Rattus norvegicus: one gene and its partners. The protein of the gene in region 1 purifies or fractionates together with the protein of each later gene. This does not show direct contact. Links are inferred from orthologs where the notes say so. Each region holds a gene or a part of one and is shown on either strand. Other genes may lie near its edges. The genes, in order: Vgll4, Irf2bpl and Tead4.

What was found.
Region 2: the proteins of Vgll4 (region 1) and Irf2bpl purify together in Homo sapiens (affinity purification with mass spectrometry; 3 studies listed by BioGRID and IntAct, counting the BioPlex papers as one, with this or other methods). This does not show direct contact. The link is inferred for Rattus norvegicus from reciprocal best matches to the Homo sapiens genes VGLL4 and IRF2BPL.
Region 3: the proteins of Vgll4 (region 1) and Tead4 purify together in Homo sapiens (co-immunoprecipitation; 5 studies listed by BioGRID and IntAct, counting the BioPlex papers as one, with this or other methods). This does not show direct contact. The link is inferred for Rattus norvegicus from reciprocal best matches to the Homo sapiens genes VGLL4 and TEAD4.

The regions. Positions count from the first base shown.
Region 1 is NC_086022.1:149,601,575-149,605,217, forward strand, and holds part of Vgll4 (transcription cofactor vestigial-like protein 4), read right to left. Parts: intron 799-3,643; coding exon 603-798; intron 1-602. UniProt on the Homo sapiens protein: May act as a specific coactivator for the mammalian TEFs.
Region 2 is NC_086024.1:112,259,333-112,263,711, forward strand, and holds the start of Irf2bpl (probable E3 ubiquitin-protein ligase IRF2BPL), read right to left. Parts: upstream 2,933-4,379; 5' UTR 2,040-2,932; coding exon 1-2,039. UniProt on the Homo sapiens protein: Probable E3 ubiquitin protein ligase involved in the proteasome-mediated ubiquitin-dependent degradation of target proteins. Through the degradation of CTNNB1, functions downstream of FOXF2 to negatively regulate the Wnt signaling pathway.
Region 3 is NC_086022.1:163,199,238-163,202,880, reverse strand, and holds part of Tead4 (TEA domain transcription factor 4), read left to right. Parts: intron 1-59; coding exon 60-115; intron 116-2,834; coding exon 2,835-2,974; intron 2,975-3,643. UniProt on the Homo sapiens protein: Transcription factor which plays a key role in the Hippo signaling pathway, a pathway involved in organ size control and tumor suppression by restricting proliferation and promoting apoptosis.

The DNA of each region.
Region 1 (3,643 bases):
TGGGGCTTTCTGTGTGGGGCTAAAGCCTTGTACATACTAGGCAAGTGCCCATGACCTCTCCCTACCACTCTTGCTCTTTGTAAATCAAGGCCTTCTGAAGTTGCCTCAAACTTGTAATCCTCCTGCCTCAGCCTTCCAAGTAGTTGAGATTATATGCCTATACTATCAGGTCTGGCCTATTTTGTAAATAGCAATAATTTTATTTTCCTTTAGTAGTAGTAGTAGTAGTAATATTAATAATAATAATGATAATATAATAATAGCCTGTGTTTATTCCAGGTTATGACCACTGACGTTGTAGGATCTGAGCCCCAAGCAATCCACTGACATTTAACTTAGGCCTTATGAAATCATATGGGGTGAGGACAGGCCTCTCAAGGGGATTGCTACACTAGTCCTGAGGAACAGAGTGCCAGGGCCAGGCACTCATCTGGACCAACCCTGCACTGTGCAGAGACGAAGCCAAAGGAATGAGGTTACCAAGGTCCCCTCACTTTGGGACTTCTGCTCGGGGGTTCTCCATGGAGCTCTTGGTCGCCAACATTCCAGCCTGATGTGGCCACCTCTAGATGAGAACTGGCCAAGCTGCCTGACATACACACCTGCTGCCGCTCCACAGCTGACCTTCCTGTGTCACTGCTGTTCTTAGTCAGGGCAAGAGGCTGCTCCATGAGGCTGGGGAGGGATGCATACAGGTGGCCACCATGCAAGCTTACAGCGGGGGCTGCAGCCCGTTCGATGGGACTGCGGCTCCGTTCCCGGGGATCTCTGCGGCAGTCTCCGTTGACAGTCTTATTCCTGCAAAACAGGGCCATGCTCAGAGTGGGATGACTGGCAAACAGGGCCCTGGTGAGGAGCCCCCAGATGGCTCCATGACATTCCTATGCTAATGCTAAGGGCAGGACCAACAGGTGAGTTGTGGAACCAGGCCTTGAGTATAGGAGAGGCACCTTTGGACTGAAGTTGACTTCATGGCCTCCCTTGTTTCCTACTGGCAGACATGTTACTTAGCAGTGTCGCCTGCCTACATATAAGATCTATTTCATGGTCAGTTTGGGCACAGTTGGTCACTGAGGAAGACGGGAATGCTGCTGACCCAAAGAAATTGTGCAATCCTATACGCCAGTTCTGCAGTGGGACCACAGTGGTGTCTGCTCCCAGTGGCCAGCACTTGTACCCAGAAACCAGAGCAGCAGACACTGCAGGAGACAGCAGCTCCCGTGAGCTGTGAGTGCCTGCACATTTGGGAGATGCCCCATGGACTGCAGGCCAGCTGCTCAATGCTGCCTCTACACGGGTCTGGAGAGAGCATCAGTACAACTATGGCATGAGAACCCACAAGGCCCAGCTGACACAAGGTGTTCCTCCCTCCACCCACTGATTCTAGAGCCCCTGGGGCTCTGTCCCTTTTTAACCAACCTTCAGAGCAAACCTGTTCAACTTTAAAATTGAAAGGAAAATGGGAGATGAGTCCCAAGACTTTTGGAAATTTCAGGTTATTCTCTGAGCCCCTGCGTGGCCCGTTTGTTCTCTGCCACCAGGGAAGCAGGTCATGTGCACTCTAGCTGTGAGCAAAAAGCAGCCATGCCTGCCCCCCACCAAATGTCACACACACACCACAAATGTGACAGCCATACCTTTAATTAGTGGCCAATTAACTTTCAATTGTAAGAAATGACACAGCAAATCCTGGGTACCTAGTATTCCTTTTTCCTCTGGTGGTCTCCCATAAAACTCTCCTGCCGTACACTGACCGGCCCACTCTGTAGTGGCGTTATTCCGTGGCTTCCCTTCGTTCATCTCAAAGCCATCTTCTTATTAAGCAAATCTGACCTTACAGAGACAGCTCTCACCACACACACACATATCAGCAGTCAACACCTCTTCCATCGGCTGTTCCAGATGCCTTTCCATGCTCACCGCTGGCTCTTGCTGCAAACCATCCTCAGGGAGACTACAGCCATATTGTGCTTCCTTGAATGTGTAGTGGCCCTGAATTCTAGTGCAACCCTCAGGGCAGAAGCCACACCACTGTTGGTCATCTCTGCCTGTCCTACACTAGCACTGAAACCATTGGGGAGAGGAAATCTGCCTGCCCTGAGCTGCAGACCATGCACAGAGAAAAGAAGACATCAGAGTGCAGAACTGGGGGTGGGAAGACTCATGGGGAACCAGAGCTGCATCCGCATCCTTCACACGGTTCACTCACAGGAGCTCAAGCAGCAGACACTAGCGCAGACAGGAAATCCCAGGGACGACCATGATCCCCAGGAGACCCTGTGGCAGGCAATGGGTACAGAAGAACCCAACAGAAGGAGGGCTGAGGGTCTGGGGAAGACAGCCAACAGACGGCAAGAAGACTCAGGCAGGCTAACATCACTTGTCTCCTTGACCACAAGGCCACCAGTCCTTGTCACCTCCCACCTTTGATTCCCACAGCATTTTCACATGGCCAAGCACCAACTTCAATGATGAGATGCATAGAGAGAACAGAATTGGGTGGTACCAAGAGGGGCTTCCAGGACTATGCCTAGGAAATCAGTCAACTGGCACTGAGCATACATCACACAGAATACCATGAAACACAGGGCAAGCCTGGGAATGCGCTGGTTAATTTTAGTAAAATTACACATCACTTTGTTTCCAGCTCATTTTCCTGGTTCCTGGAGCCTAAAGACAGACATTGTTTTCCATGTCCCTCCCCCTTTGAGTGAATCACAGCCCAGAGTGTCCTGCGCCATCAGGACGCTGACCCAAACCACATACATCCTGCAGCTCCTTAAAGACCAAGTTGGTGGACAGAAAACCAACATGGGCCCTGCTGGCGCCTAGAGGACTCACAGGACTGCCTGGGACAAGCAACCTTGCCCATAGGTGGGCATTTCTACTGAGAAATAAAAGGTGGGTAGCCAAAGAGAGACCACCATACTCATCCAATCCAGAGTCTGCTAGGGATGGTCACCATGTGCTTCCAATCACTCTCTGAGCTCCAAAGACAAAATATCAACAGAATTTGGAGAGAATAGACTAGATCCCAGGAAGTACAATTCTGAAGAAAACATGGAGGTAAAACAAGTGTCCTGCCCTTCACCAGGTACAGACTGGAGGGCTAGCCTCATGCATCATCTTGCTCAGCCCCAGGAATCATGGTACATTGGCAGGGTAGAAGAGTAAGGAAGGACCCACCCAGCCTCAGGCTTCCCACACAGGATATCCTGGAGGTGACAGAGCGAGCCTTCCTGATGCTATCTGTGCTGTCGTCACTGCGCTGGGAACCTGGATGACAGTCTCAAGCCTTCCCACAGTCTAGCACTAATAGCTGTGGGAACAGAAGCTAAGCCTTTAGACCCTCCCAAAGCCACGACCAACCTAGAGGCCACCTGTTTTGATCAGGGATTGTGTCATCGGTGGAGATATGATGGTGCAGACCATATCCTCTGTGCCCCCAATCCTAGCTTCCCATCCCTTGACAACCAGGAAGAAGGCCACATCACTACACCACCTCTACCTCAAAGCCAAGAAAGCATGGGCACCATCCAGGTTGCCTGACATTTCTGTCCCCTGCCCACAAAGATGCTGTCTCATTTTCTGCTCAATACAATCTTAAAACTCAACTCCAGGACACTAAACAACCAACACATGC
Region 2 (4,379 bases), on another chromosome or scaffold:
ATGCCCGGGTGGGCGCTAGGCGGTGGGGGTGCCACCTGTAAATTCAGGTCCCCATTGCGTGATGCCAGGCGACGCTGCCCCGGCACGGAGGCAGGCGACACCGGGCTGCTGCTGTTTCGCCTAGCAGATGCAGTGGTGGAGTGCACTGAACTGCCATCCTTGGGCGAATGCGCTGTGCCCAAAGTGTCTGCTACTGACATGAGCGCGGCCATGGGGGACGGACCGTTCTGGGGGGCTGACTCGGGCGGGGTGGTCCGATTGGAATGAGGTCCCAGAGGTGGAGGGGGTGGAGGCGGTCCCCCTGCTGCGTGTCCCGGCGCCGCAAAGCCCCCCGCGGACATAGTGAGCTTCAGCGCCTCGCTCTGGTTTGCCATCCACTGCTGCCTCTGCTGCTCCTCACCGAGCTTCAGTGCGCTTTCAGCTGAGTCTGGAGGCTCCGGGGATGCCTTCCTTTTGCGCAGGCTGGCTGCTGCACCCCGGCCCGTGGGCGCCGCGGGTGGCAAGGCTCCAGTTCCTGGAGGTGCGCTGGGGGCGCGGCTGAGACTCACCAGCGCCGTGGGTAGCATGGGACAACTGGCATCTAGGTAGGGCTGGGGCAGCATGTCCGCGCCGGGCACGCCCTCCTTGAAGAAGCGCACAGCTTCGGGCAGTAGGTCCCCAAGAAGGCGCCAGTCGCCAGAGCCATGCTTTTTCTCGTACTCCAGGTATTTGAAGCCAGAGGACAGACCCCGGCCAAAGTCCTTCATGCAATCCTGGTACATCTGTTTGGCCACCCCAGACGCGCTGGAGTACACATTGCCGGAGCCCGTGGGATACTCAATGAACAGCTTCAGCTCGTAGTCCATGCCGGGCTTAGAGACCGCGTCGAAGGCAAAGACACGACCCAACAGCGAATGGTCCTTCTTGAAGCGCACCTCGTAGGGCGTGCAGCCAGCCAGCGTGAGCAGCGTGTCACGGACCATCTTGGGCTTGTTAGCCCACTCCTCCGCGCGGTTGCGCAGGCTCTCGCTCAGCTCGGCCAAGGCCTCAGCGTTGCGCTGCTTTTCCTTTAGCTCACGCTCCTGGTCTGTGCTCGACACCGATCCAGGCCTCTTACCAGCAGCACCCACGCCCACCTCTGCCACTGTCGACGAGGTCGATGACGGAGCAGAGGATACAGTGGCCGACACACCCGGGGGACCCCCGAGACAGGCGGGCCCCCCAGGAGCACCCGGAGGTGCTGGAGTCGGGGGCCCTCGGCTTCCCCCCAGCCCATGGGGCGGAGGCAGTACCGCGGCGCTGGCCGGGCCATTAAGCAGCGTCTGCGGCAATAGGTTGGGGGGCACGGTGAGCTGGGGTCCCCCGCCACCACCCGGGTTGGGCAGCCCGGTCACCAGCCCACTATGAGTCCCACGCCGAGAAGCCACCGATGTTGCCGCTGAGGATGAGTTGGGGCTCTGGCGGTTCAGCTCCGGGGGACCCTCCTCTGGTGCCGGCTTGGGGAAGCCGTTGGGACCTCCCAGGCCGTTGGGCAGCCGGGCGGCGTGGCTGCTGCTCCCCAGACTCACCGGGGGAGGCGGGTACTCGAAACGGCTGCGTTGTTCAACCGCGGCGGCGGCGGCAGCAGCCGCGGCGGCCGCTGCGCTCAGGCCATAGCGCTCCAGACCGGACGGGGCGGGCAACACTGCAGGCTTGGTAGAGCCATCGACGTGGTTGAGCTGCTGTGGCTGCTGCTGCTGCTGCTGCTGCTGTTGTTGTTGCTGCTGCTGTTGCTGAGCGGCGGCAGCTGCTGCTGCCGCTTCCTTGGCGGACAAGGCCACTGTCTTGACCCCGACTGGCGGCGGCGGCCCGGGGGAGCGGCCGTCTTGGAAGCAACCGTGCGCCCGCTTCAGCTGGCGTGCTGTCTCGATCACGAATTCTATGCGGTCGGCGCCTTCGTAATTGACGCAACCACGGCATACGGGTTCGGAGAAGTCCCAGATCATGGCCCAGGGCATGCGAGGCAGGTCGCACAGGTAGCAAGACTGTCTCCGGGACGAGGACACCTGCGCCGCCGACATGATGCCAGCCTCGGGGAAGGTAGGCCCCCGCCCGGGCTGTCTCCGCGGCGCTTTCTCCTTCGGGAGGACTAGCTGGCTGGGGAAGGAGTCCGGCTGCGGGGGAGGGGAGAGGAGGGGGGCGAGAAAGTTCTGCCCCAGGGGCTGGAGGGAGCGCGAGTCTCCACTGCCGGCGCAGTAGTGCCTCTCGGCGGGGGCTCCACCGCCCAGGCGACCGACGGGTTCCGCACGCTCCTCGCCCCCACCTCCTACTGCGGCTGTCTTGTCCAGAGCAGAGCACCGGGTGCCTTCTTCCTGGTGCGGCGGATCAGGGCTGCGAGCTCCGGGCCTGGGGGGAGGGGGCTAGGGTGTCCGGGGCCGACCGCCAGTGGCCTCTTGGCCCCCTCCCCGGAGTGATTGAAGCGTGGAACGCGAAGGGGGTCCTCCCTACGATCTGAGTCTTCTCTACGCCAGGCGCCCCGGGGAGAGGGTTAGAAGGTTTTGCCACCCGGTGCCCAGGTCCAATCTTGCTGAAGCCGCTGATTCCCCGGGAGGGCCGGGGGAGGAGGTGGCTGCCAAAAGAGGAGCGTTTCCCTTCCGCAGCGACGGCCGTTGCGCTGGCGGCGCCTGGGTTTGCACGCCGGAGAGAGCAGCTGCGGCCACCGTTTCCAAGACACACGAGAGCAGAGGAGAGGAGCGCACGCACGCAGGCTCCCACCACCCCCTGGCCTGACCACCTCTCCGGCCACAGAGGCTGGCGGCGCTCACGTTGGCTGCAGGGCGCTCGCTCGGCGCCTCCACCCGGGTCGCATCCCTTCCCGCTCGCGCTCGCCTGGAATGTGGGGTTGTGATTGTTACTCTACGTTCCGGAGGCGCGTCTCAGCGCTCCTGCTCCGGCTGCGGCTCGCGCTGTCCCCGGCTTGGCCGCGCGGGATGCCGCCCGGGCGGAGCGCTGACGTCACCACCATGCTCTGCACCAGTCCCCCAGCCCCCCCTTTACACTTCCTCTGTCTGTGGAGCCCACTTGTTGCTTGCGAAAGGCGCATGCGCGGCAGCATGCCCAGATTCCTCCCTGTCGGCCCCTCCTCCGCGCCTCCACCCTCCCTCCCCTCCCCCCTCGGCTGTGTGTGTACCACAGCTGAGGCCCGGGGAGCTAAAGCTGCAAGTCCAGGGTTTGGGTGCCGGGGAGGGGGGGTTCCGGGCGAGGAGGCGGGATGAAACAGGCGATGACCTTTCCTTTTCCTGCCTGGCTTTCCCAAGTAACAAAACATTTAAGAGCCACGAGTGTTGTTTCCGATTCCCGTTCCCCACCCCACCAAACCCCCAGGCAGTAAAATTAAATGCCCTGTTTGACGAGTTTCACTTTGAATTTCATATAAGGGTATTACCTATTTAATCTGCGACGAGAGCTCCCTCCCCCGTTAATGTTAACATTCCTTGCCACCATTGGTGCCCAAACACCTGCAGAATTAGCATTTCTCCCATCTTCAAGAAATTACCTTTCAGATTTGCTTTTGCGACCCAGCCTAAGAATGGAATAGGAGTTGTGAGACTATCACTAAATGAGCCACCCCTCTCCCTGGCCGAACTTTATAAAATATTTTGACTGAATGTCTAAAGAAGCTCGGATCACTCGGAGGTCTTCTGAATACAGCTGCAGAGGAGGGCAGGGAAGGGGGAGTGAGGAATTGGTCAAACAGGTGAGTGGTTTTCTGGGTTTCATAAAGGCGGGGAGGGGCATTTAATAACACTGTGTGCTAGAGTTTGGGACATAGCTCATCGAGGGAGCGCTTGTTCAGGATGACCCAGGCTCAGAACACTATCCTCAGAATCGTAAACAAATAAAGCACAGTTTTCAAAGTTCCTTCTGTGTGTTGTGATTTAATTCCACACTGTCCCGGTGCACTCTGGGAGGTCATGATTTCTTCTCCCTCCTAAGATCACTGCCCATCCTTATTGCTTACTGTAAAAACTGATAGAGTTGGTCTTAGCTCTGGCTGGGGCATGTTACTTGGTTTCCCTATTTATTGAGTTTGCTTTTTTCTTACGTAAATTAACATAATCCCTGTGGAAGGTTGGTGGAGGGGAGGGGATTTGATAAGGCTGGGTTTGCCCTACAGGATTGGAATTTCTTCACTATTGCTACCGGCTTTGTAACCTTGAGCTCTGCTTATATAATATTTTCCCTCTGCAAAATGGAATCATCTCTGTCAGCTTGATGGGTTGTCGATTTCAGGTTGTGCCTTGTGCTTGTGACAGGTTACTCTAAGACAGGTACAAAGATGGGCATTGGAAAAGTAGTTCCTTTGCTTCAGCTAATTATTTTTATTATAATGTAGATACATGGGTTGGAGAGATGGCTCA
Region 3 (3,643 bases), about 14 Mb from region 1:
CAGAGCTTCTCTACAGCTCTTCCCAGAGCCTGATGCCTTCTTTCTCCTTTCTCCTGCAGTGTGAAACCTTTCTCTCAAAACACCTACGCTGTCCAGCCTCCGCTGCCTCTGCCAGGTAGGTAGATTCCCTATGTCACACCCTCTGCCTCCTGCCTCAGGGCCCAGGTCCCCAATACCCCAGTCCTGTTCCTATCACTGCTAGATGTCATGCTGTCACGTGTTCAGATCATGCATCCCAGTTTTCTGGCTCTACCACGTTTCTTGCCTCTAGCTGGCATGCTGCGGCCATGCCTCATGGGTGTCCCGTGGTGTTCCGGGGTGACGCCAGATGCTTGCCTGTTGTGCACAGGGCTGGCTGGGACACAGAACTGGAAGGAGGTGCTCGTGTGCCCAGGTCACTCTCTTAGGGCACATGTGCTGCTAGCTCTTCGGGCTTTCCCCTTGGAATGCTACCTACTGCTTCTCAGTTGGGAGCTGTGGGGCACTGGATTCTGAGCCTAACCCTTCCCTAGCACAGGAGACGCTGATGCCTGGAGTGTACATTGATACCTAAGCAGCTTGCTGGTTTGTGCCCTTCCCCAGGCTTCAGCCCTTACCTTCTCAGGAGGTTTCCTCACCCTTTCCACACTGCAGTCCAGGCCACGGTTTTCAGCCTTCCTGGAAGGGTGACCAGCTGTGCCACTCTGGTTGTGGCCCCTCAGGCTTTCCTGGCACTCGTGGTGCCCACTCACTGCTTCCTTCACCCCTATACGGAGCATCTCTGAGTTGGGTCCAGTCCTCATATCCCTGTCCTCTTTCCTGTTCTCTCTCCTCTGTCCATGTTGATGCAGTCTGCACTCAGATCCACCTAACTCTTGCCCAGATTACTGCAGTCGCCTCTTCACTGGTCCCCGTGATTCCCAAAGCATCTCTCGACATGCTATTTCTGGCCTTAAGATGCTTCCCGGCCCCATCGTTCCTTAACGGTGAGCTCTGAGCTCTGCAGTAGATCTGCTGGACTCCTGAGACTCAGCTTACTCTGCTCCCTGGTCCTGTCCACTGTGCTCCCTGCTCTGCCTCTGGGCTGTGGCTAGACTGCTCCTCCTGGGCCTTGGATCCTCTCACCTGTCGCCACCCAGGTTAGGCGCCCACTGCTTGCCCAGCCAGGGCTCTGTGGACCTCTGTCTAACAGAAGTGTTCATCACTCCCATTTCTGCTTGTACTCGGACACATGTATCTGAGTATCCTTGTGGGATCTTCCTTCTTTTGTTTACACTGTGCTGTGCCCACTGCTTCTGCCTAGGGTGCTAGAGGTCATCAGACTCCCAGAAGGAGAGCGTGGGTCATGAATCTACTGTGTCTCCCTCTGTGCCACCCTTCCGTCACAATGAAGGAATGAAAATCTGCCCAGCAATGGCAGGCTTGCTTGGAGTGCTAACAGCATCAAAACCACAGCTCCCATCCTAAATGGAATAAAGGATGGTTTATGCTGGAGCCGTTATGAGAGACCATGGCCTGGGAACACAGATTTAGGTTACCCCAAATTCCATGTTCCAACGTGGAAACGGGTTCACAGGGTTTTAGATTTTTTTTACTGAACAAAGAAAGTCATGAATCAAGACAACCTTGAACTACTCTGGTGGATCCACCAGCGTATGCAGGTACAACAAGATTCAGGGAGATATTCTATAGGTCTAAAATGCTCTGGGCTGACACTCTTAGCTCTCGGAATGGCAGAAACTAGTGCTCTGCTAAGTTAATAACTTCTGAGAGGTTTCTAATTACTATCATGTGGTGTTAGTTCAGATACAGAGCGGGGTAAGGAATGGCTGTTCAAGAAGACCACAACTAGCCCTGAATAAAGTCATTAGCCTCTGAGACGTGAAATTCCCGTCTCTCCACTGTTCTGACGCCCCAGTTGGCCTGTCCGTCTGTGAAGACACAGAAACTCCCTCCAGGAGTTTTTTGTTCCCAGCCAGACACAGCTGCTTTTCAGGAAATTTTTTGGTTCGAAGTGCTTGCTCCAGGCAGGGTTCCATTCCTCGTATTACCAGGGGGAAAAATTTGCAAAGCCGTCCGTTTCTCAGCCAAAGTTTAACTCAGCCAGTGGCTTTCCTTGACTTGGGAATAGAATCCATCCTGTTCCCCAGCAACCCTGCCCCACTACAGAGCCTTATTTCCCACAATCCAAAAAGCTGTTTAAAGGGTGGCTTTCCAGATTCCCTCAGCTGGCTCCCAGGCCTCCACATTTGCCTTTGCTGGTTCCCAGCTTGGAGCACCCCCCCTCCCCCATCTCGACCCTCATCCCTCCCATCCCCCACTGGCCCCTACTCCCCACTGTCTCTCTTTCAGCTCTGTAGACCAGGCTGGCTTTGAACTCACAGAGATCTGCCTGCCTCTGCCTCCTGAGGGCTGGGATCAAAGGTGCGGGCTACCACTGCCCTGCTACCTCACACCTTCTTTAAGCCTCATCTTCCTGATTGGTTGGCCTCAGGGGCATCGAGAAGTCTTCTGTGGTGCTGGGGGCACACTTCATCAACACTAGCCTAGATCTGCATTCATTTCTTAGAAACCAATGCTCTCCAGGAAATGGATCCCGCTTCCAGGGCCTCTGAGTTACTGTGCTGTTTGCTTCAGCTGGCTGTCTTCCTACCTGGACTAGAAATCACCCTAGGGCAAGAATCCTGCCTGCCCTAACTGCTTTCAGGCAGCCTGGGCTGTTGAGAATCTGTCAGCCTTGAGCATGGGCCTGGTCCACTGATCTGGATCAAGCACAGGCTCTGCCCTGCCACTGATAATACAAGCAGGGAGAACAAGGAGGGGCAGGCTCCATGTGTTACTCTCCCTTCATGTAGGCTTTGAGTCTCCTGTAGGACCCACCCCATCACCCTCTGCACCGCCAGCTCCTCCATGGCAAGGCCGCAGCATAGCCAGCTCCAAGCTCTGGATGTTGGAGTTCTCCGCTTTCCTGGAGCGCCAGCAAGATCCTGACACAGTAAGTCCCCACCATGTCCAACTGTCAAACTCCCAAGAGAGACCATCTTAATCCCAGGGGTACTGTCACCATTGTGACGCCCTGGTCTTGCAGGCTCAGAATAAGTCACCAATTCCATAGGCCTTGTCCTTAAAGAAAGGCCTAGAATCCTGCAGCTTCTGTCTCTCTGCTGCTATGTATATGCCCCTGTCAATGGAGACCCTGCCCACATAGTAGGTCCCCTAATACACACCTTATTAAATGAATTCTCAACCCTGGAAGTTCTCCCCCCACGGAAGACCTCACCTTCCACCCTCCCTACCTCCTCTGGCTTCCTTCCCTTTCTTTCCCCTCTCCCTTAGGTTTTAATAGAGTCCTCGTTCTTTCTTCTCCCCTCACTGTCCTGTGTGTCATTACCTTCCCCCACCCCCCACTTCTTTACTCCGTTCTTTCCCTTGCATTCTGTATATCTCGACCTCAAGCCTTCCTGGCTTCTGTTCTCTCAGGCTAATCCCCCATCTCTTATTTCTCCTCTTATTCTAGTGGCCTTTCCTCCCAACCCCGCCCCTCCCCCACCCTCCACTATTAGCTCTGAGGGGCACAGGGGAAGCTAGGATACCTCAGGCATGGAATCCATATCATCTGAGACAATAGCAGGGTACAGCAGTTACCCCTGACCCAGCTTGTGTA